Linked DNA regions of Drosophila melanogaster. The protein of the gene in region 1 interacts with the protein of each later gene in a pairwise test. Each region holds a gene or a part of one and is shown in the gene's direction. Other genes may lie near its edges.

Region 1 (5,518 bases):
TGATTAACCTAAGTACGAGTCACATGCGGCGAAACAATATGGGTGGGCTGGGTGCCTTGCCCATGGTGCCCGAGGTCCTGACCCAGGGTACACCCATTCACGAGATGGTCCAAAACTTACATGACATGGCAGCAAAAGTATCGGCGGGGCAGCAACATCATCATCAACAACAACAACAGCAGCGGGCACATGACGTGGAGGAGCCACTAGACTGCGGACTCCGATCGTCGGCGGCGCTGGAGGAGATGGCACGCAGCTTCATGACCAACAACAAACCCTCAATTGCCTTTCCGGGCAGCGAATCTGGTCATAACCAGCATGGTAGCGATACCAAAGAGGAACCGTCGTGGAAGGAGAAGATCGAGGGCGACGCTTAGGCTTAAATTTACATAAATAGCAGGTCAAATGACAGTTAAGTACAAAAGTGGAATGATTGCAATAATACTCAAATACACTAAAGACGGCGTAACCAAAACAATTCCAAAGAATTTAGTTAATACATAATAAGCTAACGTACAATCTGCTAGAGCATTTCCATGAGTTTTATATCGTTTTTATTATTGTACGTTGCATTAGCTTTACACTGTAATAAATGTTGAATTTGAATAAATCTTTTTATATGAACTACATTAGATGTTTATCACGCGGCTCAACTTCTGGATGCGGTTGAGCAGCAGATCGCCCTGCTTGATGGTCGCCTGGTACTGCCAGTTCTTGTTGTCAGGCCGATTGGTCTCCACAATGCCGCCAACGCGATCCACCTTGGCATGCAGCCGTCCGGCGGCGATGAAGCGTGCCAGCTCCTGGTCAATGTATTCCACTGTTACGCCGAACGACTCGGCCATATACTGCAGGGTGAGGGAGCGATACGACTCCAGCAACTGGGTGTAGCCCAGAATGCGCATCTCGCGCACGTAGTAGCGGTAGTGGGGATGAATGAGGTAGTCCAAGCGCAATTGCTTCTCTACGCCGGCCAGGTGTACGTAGAAGTTCTCATATTGGCAGTTGTACAAGGAAAACAGGAACTGTTTCACGTCGGGCAGGCCATGGAGCACCTCCTGGATTTCGGAGCCCTTGATCACTTTGTCGCGCAGCTCATTGCGCGGCAGGGCAATCATGGCCACGTAAACGGTGTAACGCACGAAGGTGGGGTAGTCCATCAGTTCGTATGAGGTGAAGGTGCTTACGGTGTCCAGGAAGAACGTGGCCGCCGCCTTGAAGTCACGCACCGCCACCGAGTAAACACCCTGGTAGACCTTCAACCGGTTGCGTCGGTCCCAATCGCCGCCTTCCTCGATCAGATACTTGGCCTTGTCGATGTTGCGAGTGATGAGATCGTGGTCAAGGTAAAACAGTCCCAAGCGGATCAGATGGAACACGATGTCCAGGCGGTGACCCAGGGAAACGGTCTTCTCGTAGGTCTTGCGGAAGGCAGTCTCTGCGGCAGCCTTGTCGCCGATGCGGCACAAGTACTCTGACTTCTTAAGATTCGCCTCGCGCACTTCCATCTCGCCCAGATTCTTCTCCGCATCCTCGATTGCCGCATCTAGCTGCTCCACCTCTACGCGGTTGTTCTCCTTCATTCGCGCCAGCAGATCCTTGTCTACGGTCCAGCCGAGTTCCGAGCAGATGTGCTCGTACCACGGGGCCATATTCTCCGTGCGAATCGCCTCCAGAAGCTTCGCCTTCAATGCCGCATCCTGCTTGTATTCCGCCAGGGTAAGCAGGAACTTCGTCTGGGCCAGCTCCAGGTTCGGGTTCTTCTCCAGACCCTGCTCCTCCAAGTTTTCGGCAGGCATTTTGGTCGGATTTGTTGGCTTCGGTTTTTTAAACACAGAAAAATAGTTGATTTTCTTGACAAAACTCAATTTTGTTTTTGTCAAATCGCAGAGTCATGTACTACCAGTGTGACCCCAAAATTATCGATAAATTATACCGCATATTTTTACATTGCCAAAAATACCAGAGCGATGTCCATCAAGATAGCGACGAAATTAGAACAGTGCAATTGCCAATTGGGAATTTGTATTTTAATTTATTTTTAAATTCTGAAAGTAATTTAAATTTAAAAAAAAAACTTGAGAGCTGTCTAGAAAAGAACTGATGTTTCATGATAACTTTGTCGAAGAATTAAGAAATATTTAGTTGTAAAATAATTGTTGAATCTATTTTTTTCCAATAACACGACTTATATATTTTTTGAAAATATTCGAGCTAAATCCCAAGAAGTAAACTCAATCTGGGATTTGAAGTGCCCAGAACTCGAATAAACACTTCTTTTTAAATAATTGTAAGACCGTATCACTTATGGTATATACTGACCTCGAAGGGCCACACTAAGGGGGAGTGAAAATTGATTTTCTGATAAAAATTTTCGCTTGAAGCTACAGCATCGTCCACTGTCCATGTATATATCTTATATTTGCATATAAATATATATATTACACCGACTTGGACTAACCATCAGATAGCGCACAAGATGATTGGCGGCCTGTTCGTCTACAACCACAAGGGCGAGGTGCTGATCTCGCGAGTTTACCGCGACGACATCGGTCGGAATGCCGTGGACGCCTTTCGGGTCAACGTCATCCACGCCCGCCAGCAGGTCCGCTCGCCAGTGACCAATATTGCGAGGACCAGCTTCTTCCACATCAAGGTCGGTGAACAAAGTTCCTATGTCACAATCACCAACCCTCCCACTTATCATCAAAACTCCTTTCACAGAGAGCAAACATTTGGCTGGCGGCTGTGACCAAGCAGAATGTGAACGCCGCGATGGTGTTTGAGTTCCTTTTGAAGATCATCGAGGTGATGCAATCCTACTTCGGCAAGATCTCGGAGGAGAACATCAAGAATAACTTCGTGCTCATCTACGAGCTGCTGGATGAGATCCTCGACTTTGGCTACCCGCAGAACACGGACTCCGGCACCCTGAAGACCTTCATCACACAGCAGGGCATCAAGTCGGCCACCAAGGAGGAGCAGATGCAGATAACCTCGCAGGTTACCGGCCAGATTGGCTGGCGTCGCGAGGGCATCAAGTACCGGCGCAACGAGCTTTTCCTGGACGTATTGGAGTACGTGAACCTGCTGATGAGCCCGCAGGGTCAGGTTTTGTCTGCCCACGTGGCCGGCAAGGTGGTAATGAAGTCGTATTTGTCGGGTAAGTTAGCATAAATAATCTAGACATTATTCCTTTTAATAATCGCCATGTTGTAGGCATGCCCGAGTGCAAGTTCGGGATTAACGACAAGATCGTGATGGAGTCTAAGGGACGCGGTCTCTCCGGAAATTCAGAGGCGGAAACCTCACGCTCCGGCAAGCCCGTCGTGGTCATCGATGACTGCCAGTTCCATCAGTGCGTCAAGCTAAGCAAATTCGAGACGGAGCATTCGATCAGCTTCATCCCGCCGGACGGGGAGTTCGAGCTGATGCGTTACCGTACCACCAAAGACATTTCGCTGCCATTCCGAGTCATCCCGCTGGTGCGGGAGGTGGGCCGCACCAAGATGGAGGTTAAGGTTGTGCTGAAGTCCAACTTTAAGCCCTCACTGCTGGGCCAAAAGATCGAGGTGAAGATACCAACCCCGCTCAATACATCGGGCGTGCAGCTCATCTGCCTAAAGGGCAAAGCCAAATATAAGGCTTCGGAGAACGCGATCGTGTGGAAGATTAAGCGCATGGCGGGCATGAAGGAGACACAGCTGTCCGCGGAAATCGAACTTTTGGAGACGGACACCAAGAAGAAGTGGACTCGGCCGCCCATCTCCATGAACTTTGAGGTGCCATTCGCGCCGTCCGGCTTCAAGGTACGCTACCTGAAGGTGTTCGAGCCCAAGCTCAACTACTCCGACCACGATGTGGTCAAATGGGTGCGCTACATCGGACGCAGTGGCTTGTATGAGACGCGCTGCTAGGGCGCCCAAGCATCCCCATCACGGAGCAAGATTATCACAATTGAATTTAACGAGATGAATGGAGAAAGTGTTACCGCATCTATTGGTATTTCCTCAATCAAATTGAACCAGCAGCTTATGTATTCCAAGATTAGTTCCAGCAAGTCCGGAGGACGCCCGAGTAGCGGATCCACCCCGGACACCCTATGCCGTATACCGCACACACTGCCTCCGCGAGCACTGGTTATGCGGGCGGGGCGTGTTCCCCATAGACATACCACTACTAGGTACTATGATTTACCCTACTATGTAAATGTAAACTATGTTGTTTTTATATGCGTCGCGGGACGTCTCACAAATCTCACGCTCACGTTTCACAACTCTAATTATTATTTGTATTATCGTATTATAAATATATATATATATGTATATTTAATCATTATTTTCATTGTGCAAAGAACAAAGGCGATAAATGCAACTAAGCGTATTTAATAGACCAAAACTCTGTCAGCGCTATCAATATTGATATTCAAGTGTTAATAATATTCGAATTGTTTAATAAATAAATTAGCATGATATATACTAAAAATGATGTGTTTCTCATTGGTGAAAGGGTATCGTTATATGGCTTTTCCCTATATCGAACTGATATGCCCAACAATAGAACGGAAAGGTACGATTACAACCTCATAAATGGGTGATATACAACTTTATGATCAGCCCACAAGTGCTGTCTTCGCTATCACGTGTGCACATTGGTTCAAGATCAGCTAAATCCTGAAATTAACGTCACAATTATTGATGATGTTCAACGAAGTGAAAACTAGTTTCTAGCCATGAATCATCGCACCAATGGAAGTGATCTTTGCGTTTTGGGAAAGCAAAAAAGGGCCTAAAAATGCCAGTTGGCATAAAAGCTTGCTTATCGTGGAAGGGGCTTTTCACAATTTTCCATCGGCGCTAGAAATCAACATTGTCCAATCAGTTCACCCACTGCGATAAAGTTTATTCCGCTGTGTCCATTAAACTATTATTTCTAGGTGTTAGCTGTTGCCAGCGCTGGATAGCCTTGACTGGTTTCGCCATCCAGATACTAATTAATTGGACTGGAAATTTTAATAAATCCGTAGATATCCGCTGAATCAGAGTGAAGCTTTTGCTTTGTTATCACCCAGCTGGCTTGGTCAGCAGAGTGATAACGCCACGAAAAAAAAACCGTATTATCATCTTTTTGGGCTGACACGCTACACGTAACATGGATGACATAGTACCCGATGTGCTGGATGCGGTTCCCGCTGGCACCATTAAGGTCATCTATGGCGATGACTTGGAGGTCAAGCAGGGCAACGAGCTAACCCCCACCCAGGTGAAGGACCAACCGATTGTCAGCTGGTCTGGGCTGGAGGGAAAGTCCAACCTATTGACCCTGCTCATGGTGGATCCCGATGCACCGACTCGTCAAGATCCCAAGTACCGTGAGATTCTGCACTGGTCTGTGGTCAACATTCCCGGCAGCAATGAGAATCCTTCTGGTGGCCACTCCCTAGCGGACTACGTTGGATCTGGACCGCCCAAGGACACTGGCCTGCATCGGTATATTTTCCTCCTCTATCGCCAGGAGA
Region 2 (5,729 bases), 1.4 Mb from region 1:
AGGAGTATATGGCTTATCGTATTACCTTATCGAATCGAATAGAGCCTAGACCCTAGAGTTACTGGCATACGAATATATGTATTCCGTGCATGTTTACCAACCGAATCCCAATAAACTAACACATTAAACCGATCGATCTGGCTGTGAACTTTTCACTTCCCTGAAATCTTGGGCTTATCCTTATCGCTATGGGAAACTGGGGGAGGCGACTTCTCTGCTGCGGTTATGTAATGCCCCAAAAAAGCGCCAGATAAGACCAACCGCCGGTTGCGGAAGATGAGCGGATCGCCACGGCCCATGGAGATAAAGTTGTTTACAGGAATCCGGACCGAGCACAAAGACAAACAGCAATGGCAATAAAGCAATGGGACAGAGAGACAACCCAGCTGCAAGCTAATTAAAGTTGCGACAGAACGAAGCCAGTCGCCAGTAGTCCGCCAGTTGCGAATGGAGCAATTTCCAGCCGGGAGTGTTTGCAATCCTGGTACTATCCCGTGAGAAGGGCTGAAAAAGGACTGTAAAATACCCAGTTCCCATCTATAGTTATCTGTCGTGCCTGCAAGGGGCTACGGCAACTTTGGTGGTATTGACAAAAAAAAAACGAAAGATACATGTCACAGTTATCATATATAAATTATCAGTCATTTGAATAAATCATTATTCATTATTATTATTATTTTCACTTCTTGTTACAGATAAAGTTACATAAACTGCGTATACCCTCTTGTTCGGCACACATCCAGGGTACCACACGGCAAATATGTCCTGCAACGAGAAGACAGCGCTTCTGGCAACGCAACAAGGACATCAGCAGCGGCAGCAGCGGCAGCAGCAGCACATCATTGTCGTGCCCGCGACGGGGAAGGATCCAAAGGATTATGAGCCCATTTTCACAACTGCTGAGTAAACGCTTTCCGTCGTATTTCATTAAAAAATAACTTCGTTACACAGTGCCGCCTGCCCGCTTCTTTCGTAGCTATTCCTACGGACTGACGCTCGAGGAGCTCCTGCCCTTCGCTCTGGATCCCTGGTGGCAGGCCGTACGGCGCCTCAGCTGCGGGCTCCTGGGCCTGACTTTCCTGCTGACCCTGATTGCTGGACTGGTTATGGCCTATTCCGACAGTGTCTGTCTCCCAAATAGAGCAATTAGCAGAAACGCGACCACCACGACAACGATGGCCACGCCACTATCCTTGGCTCTCAACGGCTCCCAGCTGCTGATGGCCAGTTTATAGTGGCCGTAAGCTAATCTGTGTAGCATTTTGGAGATGCCGCAATCCACCCTGCGGAATTGCATCAGCCGCATCAGCTCGCACTATTAGCATTTGTTTGGCTTGCCGGTAATGGAGGCGACCTAATCCTCCTCCTCTCTACTGTTTACCCCTACTCAAGCTGAGTGATAAGCGATGCACCGCGGGATTGATTGGTCGTGAAATAATTATACTGATTAACTTATTTGCTACACAACCGCCTACTCGTAAAGTAAAAAGAATGCAAAAGGTATAAGGAAGCGTTTCCGTACCAATTAAGAACATTGTATCGCAAACTTATTAATTTTTATATATATACATATATATATATGAATATTACTTAAACTAATAAACGAATAGTTTTTTTTCATCGCTGTATTCTGGTTTCGGTTTCTGGGAGTTTAGAAGTTAACAAACCGCCTTATAGTTTTACAGCCCCACCCTGAAAAAATGGTTTGATTTAGTTTTATTTTATAAATAGTCTTGGCAATTTGTATACTTGTGAAAAAACATTTTCACCACGCCCACACTAGCGCGCACAATTAACAAAATCCTGTAGTTACAGAGGTGGTACTCTTGTCATTTTGGAAGTTTTATGTATTATGTAGTTTATGTATATATATAAAAAATATTTTCTTAGAATTTAAATTATTTAAAATATTATTATTATTATATTATATATTAACACATATTTATTTATTTATTTATTATATATATATATATATATATATATTAATATTATAAAAATTTAAGAGTTAGTAGCTGATCGCATTTCTGATAGTTGAGGAACTCGACTGTAGCGTTTTCTCTTGTTTCAATTTGCCTTTTTTTAAATATCTACACCGTTACTACATATTTTTTACATGACACAGTAGCGCCATCTGTGCACTTATCAGTGTTGGATAGCAGCGGCGACTTCGATTAAGCAATCGATTATTTGTTGCATATGTTGTTTACGGCAATTGTTTATATTTATTTACTGCTGGTGAAGTGATTATTCGTGATGGATTTTGACAGTCCCGAGGAGAAGGAGTTTCCCGGGCTGTACGCCTCCGAGGCGGCGGACGCTAAGTCGAGGAAGAGCAAGGAGGAGAGCGACTGTGAGTGGAGCGCAAAGATGTGGGCGTAAGCTGGGAAAAAATCAATGGGCTCACCTTGCCTTTACAGTTAGTGAGGATCACGACCATAGCAAGAAGGACTTGTTGATTGGCCGGCGCAAGGACAAGAAGGAAAAGGGCAAGGATCGAGGATACGCCGCTCTGGAGGGCGAGAGCTCGCCGGAGGAGGAGCTGGACACCAAGTGGGTGCAGGTCAGCTGACCCAGAGACAAGTAATATTTTTTCTTTTACTTCCAGAAGTCCATCCAAGTCGAAAAAGTCAAAGACCTTTAAGTTCACCAGCTCCAAGAGCAAGGAGAAGCGGGAAAAGTCGCGGGACAAGTCTGAAAAAGACTCGAAGCACGCAGAGGAGGAGCCTTCCGTCTCCCACAAGGTCAAGGAGAAAGAGCGGGATAAGGAGAAGGACCGTGATGAGCCCAAGAAGAAGGACAAGGAGGAGAAGCGCAAGGAAAAGGACAAGAAGGCTGACAAGAAGGACAAAAAGGATAAGAAGAGCAAGCAGCTGTCGCAGCAGCAGGACGACGTCTCCGCCGCGGAGGAAGTGCTGGCACTTGGGTATCCCGTCTTTGGGGTGTCCGTTAGCTTGGCGACCGAACGATCCCGCTGCCACGACGGCGTGGACATTCCCCTGGTTGTGCGCGACTGCATCGACTTCCTGCAGGATCACCTGAAGTGTGAGCAGATCTACAAGATTGAGCCCATCAAGACGCGTCTGATGCACTTCAAGCGGTTGTACAACAACCGGGAGCACGACTCCGCCGTTGATGAGCTCAACCTGCCTACCGCCTGCAGTCTGCTGAAGCTCTTCCTGCGCGAACTGCCGGAGCCACTGCTGACCACCGATCTGGTGGCCCGCTTTGAGGAGGTAGCCTCTCATCCGAAGGTAACCACGCAGCAGGCAGAGCTGCAGCAGCTGCTTGAACAATTGCCCAAGTGCAATCGCACCCTCTTGGCGTGGGTGCTGCTCCACTTCGACGCGGTGATCCAGCAGGAAAGACACAATAAGCTCAACGCTCAGTCGCTGGCTATGCTGCTCAGTCCGACGCTCCAGATGTCTCACCGACTAATGGTGGCCCTACTCTGCCACTGCAACAACTTGTTCGCGGACGTCCAGCTGATAAAGTGAGCAAACACCGGCTAGCCGGATAACAGTGGTGGGAAATATCCAAGTACCTTTGTGTTGGTAAAAGAGAAGTCCACATTTAACAACTATAGTTAAATCACAAGAACGAATCGAAGTCATAGCTCTGAAGTTAACTACTAAACTGTTAGTTTTAGTAAACTGTTAGTTTCCATATTTATCTAATGATATAAATTGTTTTTTTATATGTATAATAGGTACTTATAAGAACCCAGATAATTCCCACCACTGTTGGCAGTTGATAAGATTGCTGCTATAAAAATCGCCAGATTTAGTCGTTTATTTTGCAACCGACGATGAGCACATTACCCCGTAAACAGAAGCGCTTTCCACGTTTCGCCAGTTTTCTAATCAGGCAGAATGGCACACATTTAAACAAAGTTATCATAATACTAAATTGTCATCTCTTAGGTATGTGCCCCCTTTAACATCGACCAGCCCAAAGCTTCCGGATACGCCGGAGGACATCCAGACGGAGTTGCGCAAGCAGGACAGCCTCCTGTCCCAGATCCACAGCGAGATGAACGCCGGGTTCATTACCAAGAAACGCGAGGAACAGCTGTGGGAAGTGCAGCGCATCATTACCCAGCTGAAGCGGAAACTACGAACTTTTGAGAAGAAACAGGAAAAGACTGCGGAGGAAGTAGACAACAGCAGCAGTGCTCCGCCCGCTGTAGCCAGTGAAGATACCACTGACTCCAAACCAGCTGGAACTCCAGCCGTATCTACGAACAACAGTATTTCCCAGGAAGAGCCAAAAACCGATACACTAACTCCGAAAGATGCTCCTAACGATTTTACTATTGATCCCAGCACTGGCTTTATTTTGCTCCCCAAATCAAATCCGCACCGCGAAAATTTGCTGCGGCTCCAAATTGAATATGACGAGCTAATGGAATGGCAGAACGAACTAAAAGCACGTATCGTCGCCGAGCGCAACGAAGTCTATAGGCTCAAGCAGCTGTACGAGCAGCAGTCAATAAACAGTCAAATGGCCTCCTTGGCCTCGGGATCTCAGGCTCCCCCAGAATCCGACTATGAGCGGATAATCGAGCACTATACACGGGAGAATGCGCTGCTGGAGCACAAGAAGAATATGCTGGGCATGGAACTAAAGGAGGAACGACGGGCCTGTATTGCTCTACAAGTTGAGCTGCGGCTCCAGCAGTTTTAATGTATTAATTCGATTAATGTATTACTTGGATGGGTCAATTTGAGGGATATAACTAAGTTCCTATTCCGGAAACTTAATGGTCACATTTCCAAAGAAACATAAAAGGTCTACTAGGCAATCATAGGAGGTTTCTTAGATTCGTAGAAGACAATTCTATGTCACATATCTAAAATATTCAAATGAATAAACTTGTAAAGTTTTTGATAATTCATTTATCTGCAAACGTAGTCACTGTTCTAAACAGTGTCCTTTGTGAATTGCAATATATGAGAATTTTCAGTTCAGCTTTTAAGGAGATAAAATACTGCTAAAACATAAAACGGATTCCTCATGCCTAAAGTCAGTTTATTGTTTATTTGGAAATGAGCTAGTTTCAGACTTGACCCACCGAAATATATGTATGTATATAGGGTTACCAATTTTAAATCTCAATGTCTACTTGCGATCAAATGCTTTGTTCAAACTATAATTACTGTTAAACGGCGCAAAGCCCCAAAGAAATCTTGTTAGACAACTTTACTGCTTTCAACAATTAAATGAGAAAACAAACTCAAAATTCCCTTTTCTGTACTGAACTATTGCATCGAAATATGTCTCCTCGAAGAATTTTGTAAATGCCGGTAAAGTAGCTGCGTTTGTGTGTGCCGACAATCAAGATCCGATTTTCTAAATCGGTCTGATGACTTAATTCCAATCCGAGAAATACAGGGCACAGATTAGAAGATGTTTAGACGACGGATTGGCTGTTCGCTGGGGTGAAACGGAAATGACATCATCTCATATTACGTCTTGTCAACATTGTGATGGTCAAGGAACCGAGGTGGGCTTTGCGTGTTACGATTACTTTATTTAATATTTATTATTAATAATTTTAGAATACATTATCATTATGCATTACGTTCGGGGCGTGTTTTCTGTATTCCGCTGAAGTACAACTTAAAAATATCACACACAAATACCACGGGGGAAAGATGAGTCCTCCGGAATGCCAAACCGCGTCAACTCGCTCCCCTCCATGATTAAGTTATTTCCGCTGGACTACAGAT

The links. The genes of interacting proteins can lie anywhere in the genome.
Region 2: the proteins of AP-2mu (region 1) and Rlip interact in a two-hybrid assay, tested with the Drosophila melanogaster proteins (2 studies listed by BioGRID).

Annotation. Positions count from the first base shown.
Region 1 is NT_033777.3:22,460,124-22,465,641, forward strand, and holds AP-2mu (adaptor protein complex 2, mu subunit), read left to right. Parts: upstream 1-2,331; 5' UTR 2,332-2,407; exon of another isoform or gene 2,408-2,467; 5' UTR 2,468-2,479; coding exon 2,480-2,656; intron 2,657-2,724; coding exon 2,725-3,163; intron 3,164-3,219; coding exon 3,220-3,917; 3' UTR 3,918-4,480; downstream 4,481-5,518. Other genes in the region: Rpn7 (regulatory particle non-ATPase 7), read right to left, coding at 630-1,799; CG7054 (uncharacterized protein), read left to right, coding at 5,152-5,518.
Region 2 is NT_033777.3:21,015,525-21,021,253, forward strand, and holds Rlip (Ral interacting protein), read left to right. Parts: upstream 1-2,159; 5' UTR 2,160-2,253; coding exon 2,254-2,350; intron 2,351-2,417; coding exon 2,418-2,550; intron 2,551-2,605; coding exon 2,606-3,490; intron 3,491-3,920; coding exon 3,921-4,683; 3' UTR 4,684-5,229; downstream 5,230-5,729. Other genes in the region: CG5697 (uncharacterized protein), read left to right, coding at 761-903, 977-1,235. UniProt on the Drosophila melanogaster protein: Participates in receptor endocytosis during interphase, is also involved in mitotic processes when endocytosis is switched off.